4 linked regions of the Caenorhabditis elegans genome follow. The protein of the gene in region 1 interacts with the protein of each later gene in a pairwise test. Each region holds a gene or a part of one and is shown on either strand. Other genes may lie near its edges. The genes, in order: mls-2, zip-7, hlh-25 and tbx-37.

Region 1 (5,052 bases):
TCTAGAAATTTTTTTTGGAGTTCTTCAAAACAGTTCTTCAAAAATTTCTCGAGCGTTTTTGTACTGTTTAAGACAGAGATTTCTAATACTTTTGACTCTCCAATATTATTTCAAAGCATAACAACTTACTTTTTTCAAAGTTGCCTACTGAACACCTACACTACACTACCCTAATTCATTCTACTAATTTTAACCATTAACCTTTCAAAACACAACAAAAACTCTTTAAAAAAACAGATACTACATACAAAGGAGACAAACTATTATTTTATATCCAAGTAATACAATTCAAATTTTTGGAAATTTTGTAAGTTTTCGTTCTTCAAGCAGAATAAAAGTTTTCTGATATTTCTGCAGTTGATGGAATTTGAACATTTGTTTTGAAATTTCATCTTAAATATTAGTATATGTATGTATGTGAAAAGAGTAGCTTTGCTACCATCATAATCTGTTGGAAAATGGTCTTTTACACATCAAAAAGTTTCTATCATTTTTGTATTGTATGTATTCATAATGTAAATTTATTACTCAATAAATAATTATTTAGTGAAAGAGAAAGGATTGATGAACTGAATTATCATGTGCTCGAAGATAGTTTATAAAATACACAGAATGACACATAATAAACATATAGGGTATGAAAAATAAAATATATACGAAGGGCGATGAATCAAAAATCAAGTGTGAAGAGATAGAGTCAGTGATGAGATGAAAAATGTGTTGAGGTTGAGTTGAATTGCACAGGGGGTGAGTCTAAATTAGTAATAAGGTGTTCACATGTTCTGCGCTTGAGCCGACGCATTCAAGTTTTGCTGTGCCTGAAGTGTACCAAAACCGAAAAGAAACCGCGCGGCGGCAGTTGCAGAAGCATCCATTGGAGATGAAATCATATTTCTCATGTTCACACCAGCACTGGTCGTTGGGATCGTAAGGATTCTGAAATATAAAATTTAGAATTAATTTCATGAAACAGTAAACTCACGGAGATGTAAGAGCTGTGGTTGCTGGAATCGAAAACACATTAGCTCTATGCATCTGCAGGGAAATGTTCGTGTCATCAGTCTGAGCTTGTCTCTTGAACTTGTTTCGTCGATTTTGGAACCAAATTTTCACTTGGGTCTCCGTCAAGTGCAGCTTCTGTGCTAAATTTGATCTCTCTTGACTGCTCAAATATCTTTTGCATTCGAACATCATTTCCAATTGGGACACCTGAATGAAAGTATTATTTGAGTTCGGAATGTACAATTTCTGATACCTGACTCCTGCTGAAGACGGTTCTGGTTTTCTTCTTTCTATTTTGTGATGGATCGCTAGAGTTGGCTTCATCATCGCTTCCACGGCCAACTGAAATACAGTTTATGGACACTTTTGTGGACACATTTTTAAATTCAACTCACTATCATCGTCATCTTCTGCGTCAGACTCCAGCGGGCTGCCACCAGTGGAATCCCTGGTCTCCCCATCTTTTCCCTCCGATTTTTCATCCTTCTCTTCTCCATTGTCTGATTGAATATTAACATCTGTAAGGAAACACATTTTCAACAATTACTTAATTCCTGACAGGCATATTAACCATATTGCATTAAGATACTTCCATTGACAGGCCACAATTATAACACATCCCCCCGTGGTCCATCGGTTAATTATCTCAATGGACGGGGGATTACTAGGACACGGGTGTCGGTCAAAATGACACCTTTATAAATAGATGTCTCTATATTAAGAACTACCTTTAGTTTTCAATACTGATTCTTCGTTGACTAATTAGAATCTCTTAAAAACCGAAGTGTAGCCGCTTACGTTACGAATATTGACGACTAAAAATGTGCGCTCATGCGTATGCCTGATTTTTCATGCGAAATGGAAAAGGCTCATTAGAATAAGAGATTTCTATTGCTGTTTTGATCATTTCACATGTTATCAAAAACAAATCAGTGGCAAAACCACATGTATCAACAGAGTCAGCGTAATAAAACAGCGTGATGATGTTATTTTACAATACGCTGATTTGCTTTGCCAAATCAACTGAGCGGAAAACTTAATGGCTTAAAGTTGGACCTGTGAGGGGAAATAATTAATCAGCATTTTTGTAATGTTAAAATGGCTTAATATCAAAATAAAACTGTTTTTAAAAAAATTTTGAGCCAAAAATTAGGTAAAAGCGGACTATGAGTTTTCAATGTTCTTTGACTAAAAATAAATTTTATTTAAAACATTTTTGAAATGTTTTAGTATGACATTTGGTAATTCCCTACAGGCCACATTTCATTATTAAAAACTTTGAATCTGAAAAAAAAAGTTGTTTCTCTATAATTTTTAATTGAATGTATTTATTTTTAGAATCAAAATAAAAGTCAAGGACCTGACACGCGTCACCGAGCTCATGGGGTTTAGTATTCTCACGTTATTAACTTATTGCTGTTTGAGCACATCCTTTCAAGAATCAATGAATACCGCGTGTGGTGTTACCCAACAAAAGATAATTAGTTGAGTTCAACACAGGCGAGCGATTCTGATTCTTATCCTAAGAAAGGAACTGCATCCGCCGACAACCTCCCCCCTCCTTTTTCCATATGTTCATCCAATACCGTTGTTCAACTTGTTAATGAGTCCAGACTTGGCTAATTCGAGACCATACAATAACAATGGGTCAGAAAATGAATTAGTTACTGTATTAAGGGGTGTTCTGAGATTCGGAGAATAAAGAGAACCGACCGAAAATTATAGTGGTAAACGGAACACTGTTTTGAATGAAATGAAATATGGTAGGATTCTTTCACACATTAACTAATGACAGACTAAGGAGAGAGGAAGTTGGGTAATATCTACTGACCTGGGTTGCTCATGTTTTTGAAGTGCATTAGTTGAGCAGTCGGAAGTCCAAAGAATGGGAACATGGTAAGTGGTGAGATCATGTTTTGTTGATTGCCGACGTTCAAGAAAGTTTGCTGAAGTTGCAGGAGGGCAGAAATCGGATTCATTTTTGGATCAAAATTGAAATTAAACGCCGTTTGCTCAATTTCATTGGTGCTATCCTCTGAAGATGCCGACGGGGAACTTTGTGTAGTTCTGAAAGTTTAATTTTATACAAATAAAAGGAAAATAAATGAAAATGTTCAACTTACGGTTTTCTGTCATCTTCCAGCAACTCAGAAATATTGAATTTAATCTTATTATCTGAACTTGGCTTCATCTCTTCTTCCTCTTCTTCCTCCATCAGTTCAATCTTTGGAAGTTGTGACATTTTTTCGAGACGTTCTTGCGAGCTCATTGTCGTCATATCAATAGGGAGATTCATAACTGAAGTCGGCATGTTTGAGAAAAATAGAGTCAACTGAGGGCTAATCGAGAATACTAATGAGTAGCCCCGCCCCACCATTCAAGACTACGGTAGCTGGGCGAGCGTTCGCGGATAAATGGGGTGTAGGAAATGGGAAGGAGAGGAGTAATAATGAAATGATGACCAAGTCAAATTATTGTCTTTGGTAGTGTTAAGAAAACGGATATCAAAACTATATAAACAATGGTTGACCAATAGGAAAACGACTATGAATACAGTTGAGAGAAGTTTAGCAGAATCTGAGGATCTCGAAGAACTCCCTGCTTGCTTTTCCGCTAATGTGTTAAGTGATCAAGCAAAACAGAGATGTTTCTAGGCAATACGCCCTGTCCAACTTAATGTCTAATTCGTTTAAGTGGATTACTATGTTTGGTTAACACCATTAATCACAACAATTAACCGTTTTTTTTCCGCTGAGCGACTCTATCAATTGTTTCAAAATTGATGATCAATTGATTTTGTAATGTAGGTTCAATGTATATTCCAACGAGAATGCCAAAAAGCTAATCAGTTATGCTTTAAGCAAAACATTATTAATTTAAATATGAAATTCGAGATGTTAGTGGATCGTTGTTGCTATGCGAACGCACGGGTCAAGCAGCAGCTTATCCGCGGTTAGTGTCGAATTCGGAGTGCAAAAGGTAATAATGAGGAATGATGGAAACAGGAGAGATATCTAATATAGGCTCGATGAGCAAAACACTCAGGATCATTGTTCACTTGAAATGTGTTCGAATACCGTAACTCCTTGAATAGTACTGTACCACACTATTTGAAACGTTATATCTGTGTTCAGTATCAAAGATAAGAAACTACAAACCGCTAAAAAAAATTGACAAGTACTTTGTTCGTGTTAAGCTGGTAAAGATGGAAACTGGGTTGAAATCCTAATAGGGAAAATACGGTAAATGGTTTGATATTTTGATGTACAGGAAGTTGAAAAGAGTACTGCCAATATTGTGATGACATCTTTTAAACTACTTTTTTCCATACTTTCCAAAAAAATCATTTTTGGCTGAAAAAAGAACACTCGTATTACTGTTAATTTTCAGAATGGGGGTTTAATTTACAAATGAAAATTTTAGACGAGATTTCTGATACCTTAGAGAACCCATGCAAAACTGAGGGAAAAGAGATGAATCAAGAGTCGATGGAAGTGAATCGGAAACTATCACATGAAGTCTTATGAAGCTTGAAAAAAAGTTCGAAGCAAACAAGTAATCACGAAATGTGTTTTTTTTCCTGATTAACCCTTGAGAGTCCAATGACGAACATTTGAAAAAAAAATCAAGTTTTAGTTTTGATCAAACGCAAAATAAAACGAGTTGAGGTGAGCACAGCCGTATTGAATGAACGTCCACAGCTCCACCCACTTCCATGATATACGGTAATTGGGACCCAAGACGCTTACCCGCCCGCTCTCATGTGTTTGTGTGCGCGCTCGTTTGGTTTCAAATAGGGAGGGGGGAGAAAATAATTCAACACAATCTCATTAAAACCGGTAATAGTAAAATAAGGCGACGACGTATTTGTACAGAATAATATGGTCGAGGAAAAACATGCACACACGTAATGGCTGATAGTAGTGGCGTTCATAGAAATGAGCTGAAAATGAGCAGAAATGAAATGAAAGATGAGGATGAGAATGAGAAAATGGAATTGATATTTTCCACATTATTTCCCATTATTCTCTTAGAGGTTTTGTTATGTAA
Region 2 (5,228 bases), on another chromosome or scaffold:
CTAAGCGCTGAAAAATCGGCGGAATTATGCAATTTTAGTGATTTTTAGATGTTTAGACCCGAAAAAATCATGAAAAAGCTATAGAAAAAATGAAAAAATGCAGAAAATCAGAGAAAACGAGCGAAAAATAATTTGAAAATGAGTTTTTCTGTGCAATTTGCCGTGACGGTGTTTGCACACGACGAAATCTACCGTACCCCCCGGGAAAATATTCAAAACTGGTTTTTCTTGGAATTTCGAGTTTTTTCGACTTTTTCCAGCATTTTGAACGAGTTTTTTGGGAAATTTAACGAGAAATTACTGAAAACGTTATATATTCCGTCGAAAAAGTAGTAAAAATCACTCAGGTGATGCTTTGCCGGGAAAATAATGGAAAAATCATTTTTCCGTCCAATTTTAGGGTACAATTAGCTGAAAAATTGAATTTCAGCATTAATTCTGGTCAAAAGCGGGAGGAAAATCCACGAATACCTCGGAAAATGAGCAAAATTCAGAAATTTCCGGGAAAAAGTCGAGTAAGCTGAAAAACTGTTTTATTATTAGAGAATTTGGATTTTAAAGTTGCTTTAGCTCGAAAATCAGCGAATTTAGCTTGAAAAACATGCCCAGAAAATGCCCAGAAAATCGGAGGAAAATGGGGAAAAATCTGAATACACCTATTTTCTGAGATTTTTCTCATTTTTTCGTGCGGAAAGTGTCAAATTACAGTCGGTACAGCTTCGAAGAGTGAAAAATCGACAAAATACAATCAAAAACTAACAAAAATTAAAGAAAAAACGCGAAAATTCGGAGAAATTAGCGAAAACTGAGCGAAAAATAATTTGAAAATGAGTTTTTCTGTGCATTCTGCCGTGACGGTGTTTGCAGACTCGGAATTGCTTACCGTAGTCGCTCATTTATTTTTTTTGAAAAAATGCATTTTTCTTCAAAAATAGCTATATTTTTACAGAAAATTACAAAAAAAAAGTGACGCAATGAGAGGGTGGTGTGTGGAAATTCGATACAGAAGCAAGGATTTGAATGTGTGTGCAAGAATGAGATGATTTTGTGTGGGAGGGGAGAAGCTTAATAACTCGGCATATTCGCCATGGCAATCGGGTCCATAGTGTCTATAGTGCCCGGATTTTGCAGGAGCAAATGTTGTCTCATCGATTCGTTTTGTAGTTGGAGCTGTTGGACGTAGACTCGCAAGCATTGATTTTCCTGGAGAAAAAATAATTATTAATTGATTGATAAAAATTTTATGCCGTCAGAACTAAGCCTTTTATCAGAGTTACTCTTTATTTTTAGTCCGAAAAAAAAGTAAAGTTAAACTTTAACGAAACAAAAAAGAAAAGCCACTCCCTGGAATTGATCCAACGAGTGCTCACACCGAACTGCGTCCACTACCTACTGCTCCAAACCAACAAATCTTTCCAACACCATTCTTGGTGAACATATCGAAAAGTGGAACACCATTAAGGGAACAAACGTTACTGTACGTGTGCACTAGAGCGCGTTTGCAAAACTATCAAAAAGTACTTTTAAAAGTGTCGGTTATCTACAAAAAGCCATCTGATATTCCCGAAATTTATTGAAAAATTGGGAAAAGTCGGCGTGGGCGCGTTCTCAAAGTTATTGCGTAGCCAGGCTGACACCTGTTGACTGATGACGTCATCAATTAAGCCCTTTTTTGGAAAAAAAAACCCGCCAAAAAAAATGATGCAAAGGATTATTATCTATGGGAAATTTTGAAAACGTACCCTCTCCAAATATGTTACACGAACACTATTGTCCTGATCGACTTTCTTGCGAGATTCTCTGGATTTACGGGCGGCTTCGTTGTTTCGGCGGCGCCGGTCGAGATAGGCCTGGAAAATTGGATTTATTCGAGAGGATTTTGGACTATTAGCTGTCGATTTACGGAGCTCGTGTACTCCTCGTGGAAGAGTTTACACTGGTTTTTTGAAGAAAAAAAAACGGCTGAAAAGCTTGATTTTGGCCAATTTTCACTGATTTTTGTTGGATTTTGATGGTAAATTGTCATTTTATGACATAATTTATAGTTTTTAACTCAAAAATTGCCGATTCAAACGTTAAATACAAGAAAAATCAGCAAAATTGGCATAAAAATACTTTTTTCAAACGAAAACCCAGAGAAATCAACTCCACGAGGAGTACACGGCCTCCGTAAATCGACACGTGGCTAGCTATTAATTCATACGACTTTTTAAATTCATACGACTTTTTAATTCATACGCCTTTTTAAGAAAAATACGGCTAAAAAACTTTATTTTGGATCTTTTTTGCTGATTTTTTTTGTATTTTACATTAAAATTGTCAACTTATCTCGATTTAAATGCAAAATACGAGAAAAATCAGCAAAATTGGTCCAAAATAACGTTTTTTCACTGAAAAATCAGAAAAAAACTCTATTTTCAGTTTAAAAAAATCAATTTTTCAACTTCGTGGCAGTGAAATTAGAGAAAAAACTCGGCCACCACTTTGAAAACCAGCGGAAATTAAAAAAAACAGTTCAATTTTCATAGCAGAACACGGTTTTCTGGCCTCATAAATTGAAATGGAAGAGTTTGCAGAACTAGGCCATTTTGGCTCGGCCATATCTGGGATAGATTTACGTCGCATTGCGTGTCGCGTCGCGGCTCGGATTTGTCCGTGTGGAGTACACGACACTCTCCCACTCGTTGTCCGGCGGGCGATTGTCAATGGAGCGCGAAACATTCAATGAGGAAAACCAGAACCCTGTGGCAGAAGGAATCCAGGAAACCTCGGCCGCCATTTTTTCTCGGCCACATCTAACACTAGCAGATCGGCCGTTTTTTTCTGGTGGCCGAGTTTTCTCATTTCTCGGCCATTTAATCTCTTACCTCATCCTTTTGATTTTCCGGCACCGGAACCGGTTTTTTCTTCTTACTCCCACTGCTGCCACTCTGCTGATTTTGAGACGACGTGGTGGATGACGTGGAAGACGATGACGGGGAAAAAGATGACGTGGCATGGGGATTCGCGTATGGCGCGAAATGTTGAGCAAAAAATGGGAGAGCAGTGGCTGCGGAGTAGTTCTAAGAAAAAAATTTAATTTTTTGTTAAAAAGCATTTTTGAAACAGTAAAAAAATTTTTTTACTTTTTCAAATTTCAGAAAAATTCCAAAAAAAATTACAAACCTTATCAAAAGCTCCTGCTCCATACGGATTCTGTGCGTACATCTGATTGAATGCCTTTATAGAATCCGAATCACACATTCTCGAGGCAGCCAGCTGCTGTTGAATGTCTGTCATCATCTGGAAATAATCTGGAAATTGGTGGAGAATTGGTGGAAAATGGCTAGAAATTTAGGAAAAAGCTTCCAAAGAACACAGTAATAAGTTGAAAAAAATTATAATAAAACAAATTTTTTTGAAACAGAATTTTTTTTAAATTTTCAAAACCAAAACCGTATTACTCAACAGTTACCAAACTATTACACCGGAACTTATGAGCTACCGCATGCTGAGAAAAAGTCTGCACGCAAACAGGACACCTCTACAGGCCCTACTAGACCCGCCTCCTCCCCCATTTGCCCACGGGGTCTCTAAAGACGGGCGGCTCTTTTTATGATGATTTGAACTGTAATGGCGCAATCGTTGCGTCGTTGTTCTCTAACTAACTAACTACCGTCTGCTGTTAGTTGAATAATGTACCGCAAAAGAGATTGGTGGTGGTCCTAAATGTATAACGAGGTGGCAATAGGTGGGCATGTCTTGGAGTTCCGTGGGGAAAACTGGGCATAACTTGAAAAGTGTAAGAGCTAATAAAAAGTTGTCAACCAACAAAATGTTTAAAATCAATTTTGCAATATTTTCATAGTTAAAATCTTTTTGATAACTTCAATAGCTAAGGAGATATAAGCCTTCAAACTTAAAAATCGGTAATTTTAGTTGGAGTTTTGCGCGAAAAACTACCATAACTGAAAAAGTATCGGAGCTAGTGAAAAGTTGCCAACTAAAAAAATGTTCAACATAAATTTATAAATATTTTCCCAGTTGACAACTTTTTGATAGCTACAATGGCTGAGGAGATACTACTTCTTCTGTAAAAAACGCTCGTACTTCAACTTGCTAACAATTTTCCCTTGTAAATTCCACTTGTTAAATGCTTCACATGAAACAGGCACCAATTCAAAAATTCAAAAATTAACACAAAAATCCCAATAAAACTGGTTTATTCAAGTGAAAAATGAGAATCCTGAAAATTATTGTGGCACGGCGAGCTCCTCGTAGTTGCCTTCCTGAAATCAGAATTGTTTCTTTAAAAGTAGGACCTTCCTCATTGCATTATTCGCGCTCTATTGACAATCGCCTGCCGGACAACGCGTGGGAAAGTGTCGTGTACTTCACACGGACAAATCCGAGCCGCGACGCGACACGCAACGCCCCGTAAATCTACTGAGCCAAAATGGCCTAGTTCGGCAAAACTCTTACATTTCAGAATAGGAGGGAAGGCAGAAACCTGTGGTACGTATCCCAAATCAGCAAAATTAATTAAACAATGCGTTGCGGTCGCGTTGCGGTCGCGTCGCGGTCACACAACTCACAGTTTCATCCTTCTTCTCCTTTGGAGCCCCTAACTTTGATTTATTTGTTCCTTCCGGAGAATTTGCTGACTTCTTCTTCTTTCCGCCACAATTCATCACCAGAGATCCGAAAATCACAAGAATTGGAAGCACGAGCTGTAAATTTCGGAGCATTTTTTGCAGGCAGGCAGGCAGGCAGGCTTAAACTGACTTGTGCAATCATTTGGCTTCTTCTTCGTTTCAGTGGAATGGAATTTTTAAACAAAATTCGAAACTGATTTTTTCGATTATTGATTTTTAGTTGGCGACTTTGAAAAAAAAACACGTTTTTTTTGAAAATTATTTCCCAGTTTCACGAAAAAATTAAAATTATTTTCAACATTTTTTTCCATTCAATACGTTTTCACGCGTTTCCCCCGATAATATTCAAATTTCCGTATGTCAGAATAGCGGTAAATTCAAAGAAATTACGCAAGTTTTTGGGGTATGTGTACTTGAACATACGCACACACAGATTATTGCGTTACCACATTAGGACCACGGGGGTATAATGAGTTGGGGGGTGTTGGCCTTGTGGCCGTGGAGGTGAAAAACCTCGGCCACTACCAACTTCTAATACGTCTATCTTGGTTCCGGATAAATTTGGAAAAAGTTGTCAACTGCGAATTTGTGGAA
Region 3 (3,273 bases), on another chromosome or scaffold:
TTACATTCTCAACCAAAATTTTCTATAAAAAGGGGAAAGCCACGCCCATAAAATGGCAAAATAATTTGTTGTCCATCTACGGGTCTCGCAGCGAAAATCAAAGTTTTTTCGGTTTTATTTATTTATCTTTTTTTGGGAAATTTAGAAACTAATTTTTAAAATGATTGCAATTTCCGAAAAAATTAAATTTTCAAATGATTTAGTAGGGAAGATTATTAATTTTTCAAAAAACCTCAAAAATGACATCCTGTCCCAGCTTCACTGAATATCGGATGTTTCCGGATGATGTCGACAATCTGCTGACCGGCTTCATTTAAGAAAACATCGAAAAGCTTTAATTTTAGAACTTCCCCGTATGGAAAAGTTTATCGCCACTTTTTCAATTTTCCCTATGTGTTTTTTTTCCAGAATGGGACATCCCACAAAACTTTGACGTAAGTTTAAATTTTTTGAATTTTCTGAAGAGCGCACCATTGAATATTCTCTAATACAATACTCAGGTGTAGGTCAATAGGTTTGGTATGTGGCAAGAATGAACAAATTAATGTTGAAATGTGAAAACAAAATTTCAATTTATTAGAATTTGGCTTATCATAAGTATAATACATTTTCAATATATTGGCATTAGATAAACATTCAAAAAGTTTGGTGACATAATGAAACAATGACAAGTTGATATTGTGAATGTGGCATAATTTGAGATTACGGGGATGTGAAAAATATAATGAAAGAAAACCAGGAAAGTTTTGACAGCCTTAGAATAGAGTATAATAAGTTTTTTTTCAGAAATTGTAAATTTGCAGGAGATCGATAGACTAGTTAATTATATCGAGGGTTTCTTCATTTTCTTCCTCGTCACTAGTTTCTGGTGTTAAGATTTGAAGTGATGGAAGAATGAATCGGAGGGGAGCAGAAAATATTGATGGAACGGTGTTGTAGTTTGACAAGACATTGAACTGAGTAGTTGGGATCATTGGAATACATGGAAATGTGAGCAATGGAGAAGTAGATGTTGGGGATTCTTGAACTTCTTGAAACGTCAATCTTGGGAAGAGATCCTTCACTTCCATTCGTGTTTTTGGCTTTTCATTCTCTTTGTTCTCACAAGTAGCAGTTGATTTTCCAGCTAAAAGAGGAAGTATTTGGGGAATTGTTTCTGGATACAGAAGATCGGAATTGTGTTTAATGTAATCAATGATGATTTCTAGAATTGTGATCCGTTCAAGTTTTAATCTGAAAATAATTTTTTGAATTTTTATTAGCCATAATGAAACTCTTACCGTTGCTCGTAACTTCCCATTTGTTTGTTCAAAATGAAGAATTTCAATTCAGCATAACAGTCATCTTGTTTCTTTCTTCGAATCTTTTCACGTTCAGTCTTCACTTTTCTTCTTTCGGATTCAGTATCAAACTTCCGTCTTGTAGATTCGGAGAGGTCATTCGATGAGAAATTAGATTCCAGATTAACTCCAGTCACAAGTTTCACAATTCGGAAGAGAACTACTTCTTGTCTAAAAAATGAATTAGTTTAATAACTATTTTAAGCTAACAGAGTATTTAAACTTACGATATATGTTCTTCTTCTGATTTTTGAACAATCGTCTTGCATTCGTTAATCAACTCGTTTGTAATATTTCTTCTTTTCCGTTCAGAAGCTGATTTTGGAGTTTGATTGTATGGGACGGAACGATAATCGCTCATTGAAGACTGAATAACTTTTGGCATCTGAAATTTAATAATTTTCATTAATTTAAAATCAATAAGAAATGTAGAATTTATAAAAATTCAAGATGAGCCGTTAAAAAGGAATAATTGTGACAAAACAGATAAATGGGACCAAGAAAGCAGCACAAATTGATTTAGTTTAGTGAGATAACTCGTACTGTTTTTCTAGAAGTATACAGTTCACTGAATGCTTTAAAAGTAATTGATCAAAATCAGTACACTTTCCTGATGTTACAATTATCAAAAAGTATACTAAACCAGCAGACCAGTGATCCACTAAGAAAGTAAATGAACAATGAATAAATGGTTACCTTTTATAGTTCCATTATTGTTCAGAGGGTGGAGCTTTGTATCAAGCGTTTGGAGCCATGGGAATTATTCTGAAATCTCTATTTTTACAGTCCCCATCACGGGTTCCCATGGTTCATCAGTGAGGTTCTCATGAGAACGAGTCAGGACATCTCCAGTTTTGCCACGACTGGATATTGATTGGGTACAGCCTGGGAAATTTCGGCGGAGACTGTGAATTGACATTAACCATTTTTATCACTCATTTAATCAGCTTGCCTAATCATTATTTGTCTTTAATTCGCAAAGTTTCCAATATTCAAGATCTGATTCTAATAAAAATTACCAGATTGATGTATATGATAATGCATAGAACATACAACTACCAAATTTTACGGATTCATTCAGTTTATCACTCAAATATGGCAGTTTTTCATTTTCTGAAAATAATAAGCCAGTTTAATTTTAACATATAACCTTACTGATTTTGAGAACTCCGGTTTGCTGGAAATGCTCACACAGCAACAGAAAAAATTCACACCGGATACATGTAGGTGCCAAGTTATAAGAAAAGTGTCACACGCTGAGATGGAAACCTCGTAAATTAAAAATAAATTGAGATTTTTTTAAACTTGGATATTGTTTTTTAAAACATTTCTAGAACAGCTTGATATAAATATTTTAAACTATCATGTAAAGGAAAAATACTATAACCTAATTCATGTATTTGATTATTTGAGTTAATTAATATGCATTTTTATTTTAAATATTCTAAATTCTTCTTTTGTATTATATATTTACATTTTTAAATTCCATCGAGCTCCGATTTTACCAAATATTCATTTCAGGATTATTTTTTCCCACCAATCAATAACTTCGTTCAGGTTGTGACCCTTCGCATTGCTTGGGTTCTCAGGCTGCCACGGCAAGAACTGGAGATGTGGTACTCGATGCACCATGAGAACCACGCGTAATAAAGGTATGGATATCAGATTCCCATGATATTCCAAACGATGAGAATCCCCGCCTATTGAAGAAAAAACTCGAACATATAATGGAAGGTAGTCATTATGTTTTTGCATACTTGAACTGTAAGGTTGGTTCTTTTCAACGTTTTCATAAGTCTTTAATTTGAACTGCCTTTCATATTTTGTAGTCTCCCTATTACGGTTTTTGTCTAATAATCTTTTGTTAACTATTATTATTATATTTCAGATCCTTGACTCATAATGTCTTCCTCTCCAACTTCGTCATCATCTG
Region 4 (4,501 bases), on another chromosome or scaffold:
ATAGTCTATGTAGTTTTTGTAGTCTGTGAAGTTTTAGCTTCTGGAGGGATAGTGAGTTGGGGTTAGTGTAGGGATATAGTCGGCGTACTGTAGTGGTACAATGGTGGTACGGTAGGAGTACTGTATGATTACGGTAGTCTCAGAAAAATTGGTTTTCAGCTCCAGAAGTCGGGGGCCGCGCCGGAGGTGCGGTCCACGGCTGGTAATATAAATAAATAAATTATTTAAAAATCGGTTTCATAATTTTCTCGAATTCAGAGCAACTTTTGGGAAGTTTTGCTATTTTTTTGCGTTTTTAAAAATAATTTACCCTAAATTTTGGAACTTTCCACCAACTATCGGCAATTTTTAAACGGCTTTTGCTTTACTAATTTTCCGGCAAATCCTGATTTTTTTGTAAATTTCGTAAACTTTCGCCAACTTTCGCCAACTTACAACAACTTTAGGCAACTTGCGGCAGTTTTCGCCAACTTTCGCTAACTATCTACATTCTATGAAAACAATCCTCAATTAAAAGTGCATTCAATAAATTTATTTTCAAGATCATTGTAAAAGCTAAAAATTAAAAAAAAGCGATAAATATAAATATTTAAAAAAAATCACAAATTCGGAAATCCATTATTGAGCATTTGTGGTTGTCCAATTCCACCTGACATCATCATTTGCTGCTGCCAGTACCATTGTCTCTGATAATACACATTCCAATCAAATTGAGCCCCATTTTGAGCTCCAAAATTATTGTAATTTTGAGCATTGGCACTATGAGCAGCAAACTGTGGCTGGTGGCTCTGCGGAGTCGAGAAAAAGTTTTGGTTGAAAAAATATGGGTTTTGCTGGGTATAATCCATTGGCGGGGAGATTGCTGGTGGGGTTAATGAAGAAATTGCCGAGGCGCTGCGCTTTGGCGGGGAGTTTTCCGAATTTTCAGACTCTGAAGAAAGCCGTCTCTTGCCATTTGAACGGAATCCGGAGGCGAATTTATTGTGATGGACCTTGAGTTTTGTGAGTTCTTCGTTCTGGAAAATTACATAAAATTGGTAAACATTTACCTAGACTTGTATTAAAAACTACGGGAAAAATGTATGATTTTTCAAAATTTTAAAGCTCAAATTCGAATTACTCTCGATTTTTTTTTATAACTAAACCGTTTTTTAAAGCCAAATTCGGCCATTTCGAGGTTACTGTAGCTTCGAAAGTGCGCAAACACCACAGATACACCACATCCACACGGACAAATACATTTTGTTTTACAATCGAGCCGCGACGCGACACGCAACGCGCCGTAAATCTACCCCAGATATGGCCGAGCCAAAATGCCTAGTTCGGCACAAACTCTCCCATTTCAGTTTATGAGGGAAACCAGAAATCCGTGAACTTTTTATATCATTTGTAGTTTTCGAAATATTGCTGAAAATCCCAACCTGATAAGCAGTAACAACGATAAATTGCGTAGCCTCCAAGCGAAATTCAACTCCATGAAAATCCATTTGAAATGTTCCTTTATAAGGATCCAGCTGTTTGATATGCAAAACTGGAATGTATTTGTGCAGACTTTGAGCTAAAATCAGCTTCTGATCCTTGTTTTCCGGGTCATTAGTGATTTTGAGGTGAGCAAACGAGACGGGCTCACTCATCCATTCTGTTCCAGTACGCTTGCCACGTGGATGCTCTTTGTACTGGATTGGAAGAATTGGATCACCTTTTCCGGCTTCTTTCCATTCTCCGGCATCGAACTTGTATCTGGAAATGGAAAATTAGAAACGAGATATTTTTTTTGAAAATTAGAAACGAATATTTTTATATTGATTTTGTTGCAGAAAAATGCGCTTATGGGGTTATTCAAGTATTGTCGGAAAATTAAAAAGTGTAGAAAAATTACGTCACAACTGTATTCAAGTATATAAAAACATGTATTTAAATACATTTGTGACGTCACAAATGTATTTCAATACATTTTGCTAAATTACTTGAATAACCCCATTAAAATCCGCTTTTTATCCGATTTTTCCGATTTTTAATATTGAGGGGCATTATTAGCATCAATATTTCAAAAACTACAAAAGTTATCAAAATTTTGTCAACTAAAAAACTGTAGAAAATTCAAATATCTACAAACTGTTAGTTAACTGCTTTTCTATAGGGCAATTCCTAAAAGAGTTGCGGGCGCTGGAACTTCAGAAGCTGAGAAGAAACAATTTTTGGTTCAAGTGACAGAAAATAGCCCGTAATGACCAAATATAACTGTTAAAAAAATTTTCCAACTTTTCTAAATAATTTATGATTTTTTTCTAATTTTGTCAAAAAAAAATGGGAGATTAGACTCCACTCACTTTTTCGAAATATCCTGGCAAACTTAATCCGGAAAAAATCAGTTTGAAAAATCATTTAAAAAATTTAGAAAAAATTTTAACGGCTATATTTGGTCATCACAGTTCAATATTTACGTCAATTAAAGCAAAATAAATTTACTCTATGCTATAGCAGTTTAAAATTCCAACTTTAAACTTGTATATCTCTCTAGGCATGCATCTAATCAAAAAGTTGTCAACTACCAAATTGTAGTAAATTTAATTTCCTACAATTTACTTACTAGTTGACAACTTTTTTCTATCATTTATTCCAACTCACTTAATCCCGTCAACACGTTCCAAATGAATATAAATCGAGTAGAGACTATCCGGATCCAATCCTTTGACGTTATAATCCAAATGCGGAAAAATGACTCTCCCACGCTTTCTCGTCACAATCATTTCAGTTTTCGGGTAGAACTTTTCCCAAATCTCCGGCTTGTTCAAAGAGACCTCAATTCCAGAAGGAGAGGTGCACGAGTACATAGTGATGCTGTAATAGAGGGAAATTATTATGAAAATATTAATACAAAAGATTTCAAAAGGTGAGAACGGAAGTAAAACAATAAAATAATAATAATGGCGCTAATTGTAATAAAAGTGCAAACAACACTCTCACTCATGCTCTGAAACTGAGCCGGTAAGTGGGAGGAGCGGGAAGAGGTAGATCACGCGTAGTGGTGGACACGTGGCAGTCGGGCACAACTTGGTACATACATATGAACGCATGGGGGCCCTTCTCCTAATTGAAGAACAGAGGGTTAGGCTGTATTCTTAACGGGGGAACACTGGAAAAGTGTAGTTGAAATTTATAAATATTAAAGATGGAAAACCCCCGTTAGCACTGGAAATGTTGGATTTGAAATTCGCGAGCAGATAACTTTAAACAGAAGCTCAAATTTTATTTCATACTCGAAGACGTAAAAAGAACTTTCTAGAAAATCAAAAAATGCGCGGAAATTCGAATTTTATAGCATTTTTTTAAACCTTTTTTTGGTTGAAACCAGAGGTGTGCGGCAAATCTTAAAATTTGCCGAGCTGGACAAATTCAGCAAATTCGGCAAATGTGTTTTTTGGAGAAATAAAAATACGGAATTCTTAGCAAACGTTTGGTTTTTCAATAAGGTTAGTGTAGTCTGCCTGCACAAAATTTAAAGTAATTCAATTTTAATGATATTTTATTTTCCAGAATTTTTGGCATAAAGTTATTAGCTGGTTTTTTCACATTTTTACACCCTATAAGTGTCAATTTACTGAACTTCTAGCCAAAAAATTTTTAACAAAAAAATTCAAAATAATTCACACCATAGTAATAATGATGAGCTACACCACGAATTAGCAAAAAAGACGAAAAAATACCAAAAAAAAAATTGAAAACTCACCAAACTGTGAGCCAATATTACTGTCAGAATCCAGAACGCCTCTTTCACCTCCCACTGAGCATCTTTGTGCTCCTGTAGTCTTTAACAATCCAGAATGTGTAGTTCACACTTCGAAAGTATACCTCCACCTACACCTCGACACCTCACACTTTAGTGATAGCGGTGCGAATTGGCTCTGAAGGAGAAGATGTGTCGTGCTCAGCGGGAGGGCGGGAGAATGATTTAGAGAGGAGTATCATGGGATTTGTCAGAGATTTTTCAACAAAAATTATAGTGAAAAAATTTACAATATTTTATTAGTTGGCAACTTTTTAGTAGCTTCTACAGCAGGAGTGTCCAGAAAACTTGCCAAATTTGCCGAATCCGGCAAATTTCGTAAAAGTATATTTTTGATATTCGCCGCACACCACAAAAAATTGGATTTTTTTAATTTGACAAAAACTATTGATTTTGTACTAAAAATTCTAGTAAAATAACATAAAATTTAATTATTTTGAATTCTATGTAGGCCGACCACATGGACGTTATTCAAAAATCAATCGTGTGCTAAGAACTCCGTAATTTTGGTGCTCCAAAAAAATATCAGAAATTTTCTAATTTTTAGGAGTTCGCTCATCACGGCAAATTTGCTAAATTTGCCGAATTTGCCAAATTTGCCGCACACTTCTGCCCTACAGCAATCGCGTGACAGGAGTTATAAGTTTTAAGCCTTTCCTCATTTTTTTCCAATTGAAACTTGCATATGCAATGCAATTTCTGTTAATTAACAAT

The links.
Region 2: the proteins of mls-2 (region 1) and zip-7 interact in a two-hybrid assay, tested with the Caenorhabditis elegans proteins (one large-scale study listed by BioGRID).
Region 3: the proteins of mls-2 (region 1) and hlh-25 interact in a two-hybrid assay, tested with the Caenorhabditis elegans proteins (one large-scale study listed by BioGRID).
Region 4: the proteins of mls-2 (region 1) and tbx-37 interact in a two-hybrid assay, tested with the Caenorhabditis elegans proteins (one large-scale study listed by BioGRID).

Annotation. Positions count from the first base shown.
Region 1 is NC_003284.9:4,758,300-4,763,351, forward strand, and holds mls-2 (Homeobox protein mls-2), read right to left. Parts: upstream 3,342-5,052; 5' UTR 3,314-3,341; coding exon 3,126-3,313; intron 3,070-3,125; coding exon 2,834-3,069; intron 2,596-2,833; exon of another isoform or gene 2,397-2,595; intron 1,521-2,396; coding exon 1,398-1,520; intron 1,345-1,397; coding exon 1,256-1,344; intron 1,210-1,255; coding exon 983-1,209; intron 937-982; coding exon 774-936; 3' UTR 505-773; downstream 1-504. UniProt on the Caenorhabditis elegans protein: Transcription factor that binds to the promoter of target genes. Regulates fate specification and/or differentiation of multiple cell types arising from the embryonic mesodermal (M) lineage and the ABp(l/r)paa precursors.
Region 2 is NC_003282.8:16,502,388-16,507,615, forward strand, and holds zip-7 (BZIP domain-containing protein), read right to left. Parts: upstream 3,296-5,228; 5' UTR 3,283-3,295; coding exon 3,166-3,282; intron 3,063-3,165; coding exon 2,868-3,062; intron 1,851-2,867; coding exon 1,743-1,850; intron 1,204-1,742; coding exon 1,066-1,203; 3' UTR 523-1,065; downstream 1-522. Other genes in the region: Y51H4A.935 (uncharacterized protein), read right to left, coding at 4,233-4,268, 4,575-4,709, 4,765-4,776.
Region 3 is NC_003280.10:5,533,692-5,536,964, reverse strand, and holds hlh-25 (Helix-loop-helix protein 25), read right to left. Parts: upstream 1,727-3,273; 5' UTR 1,726-1,726; coding exon 1,568-1,725; intron 1,512-1,567; coding exon 1,281-1,511; intron 1,234-1,280; coding exon 816-1,233; 3' UTR 560-815; downstream 1-559. Other genes in the region: hlh-26 (Helix-loop-helix protein 26), read left to right, coding at 3,243-3,273. UniProt on the Caenorhabditis elegans protein: Probable transcription factor. Modulates lifespan and also recovery from the developmentally arrested larval state known as dauer, perhaps acting upstream of phosphatase PTEN/daf-18.
Region 4 is NC_003281.10:11,224,285-11,228,785, forward strand, and holds tbx-37 (T-box protein 37), read right to left. Parts: upstream 2,842-4,501; 5' UTR 2,835-2,841; coding exon 2,629-2,834; intron 1,741-2,628; coding exon 1,422-1,740; intron 1,017-1,421; coding exon 600-1,016; 3' UTR 524-599; downstream 1-523. UniProt on the Caenorhabditis elegans protein: Transcription factor. Required for mesodermal induction, acting redundantly with transcription factor tbx-38. Together with tbx-38, acts by inducing cell fates in the AB lineage, thereby playing a role in development of the anterior pharynx.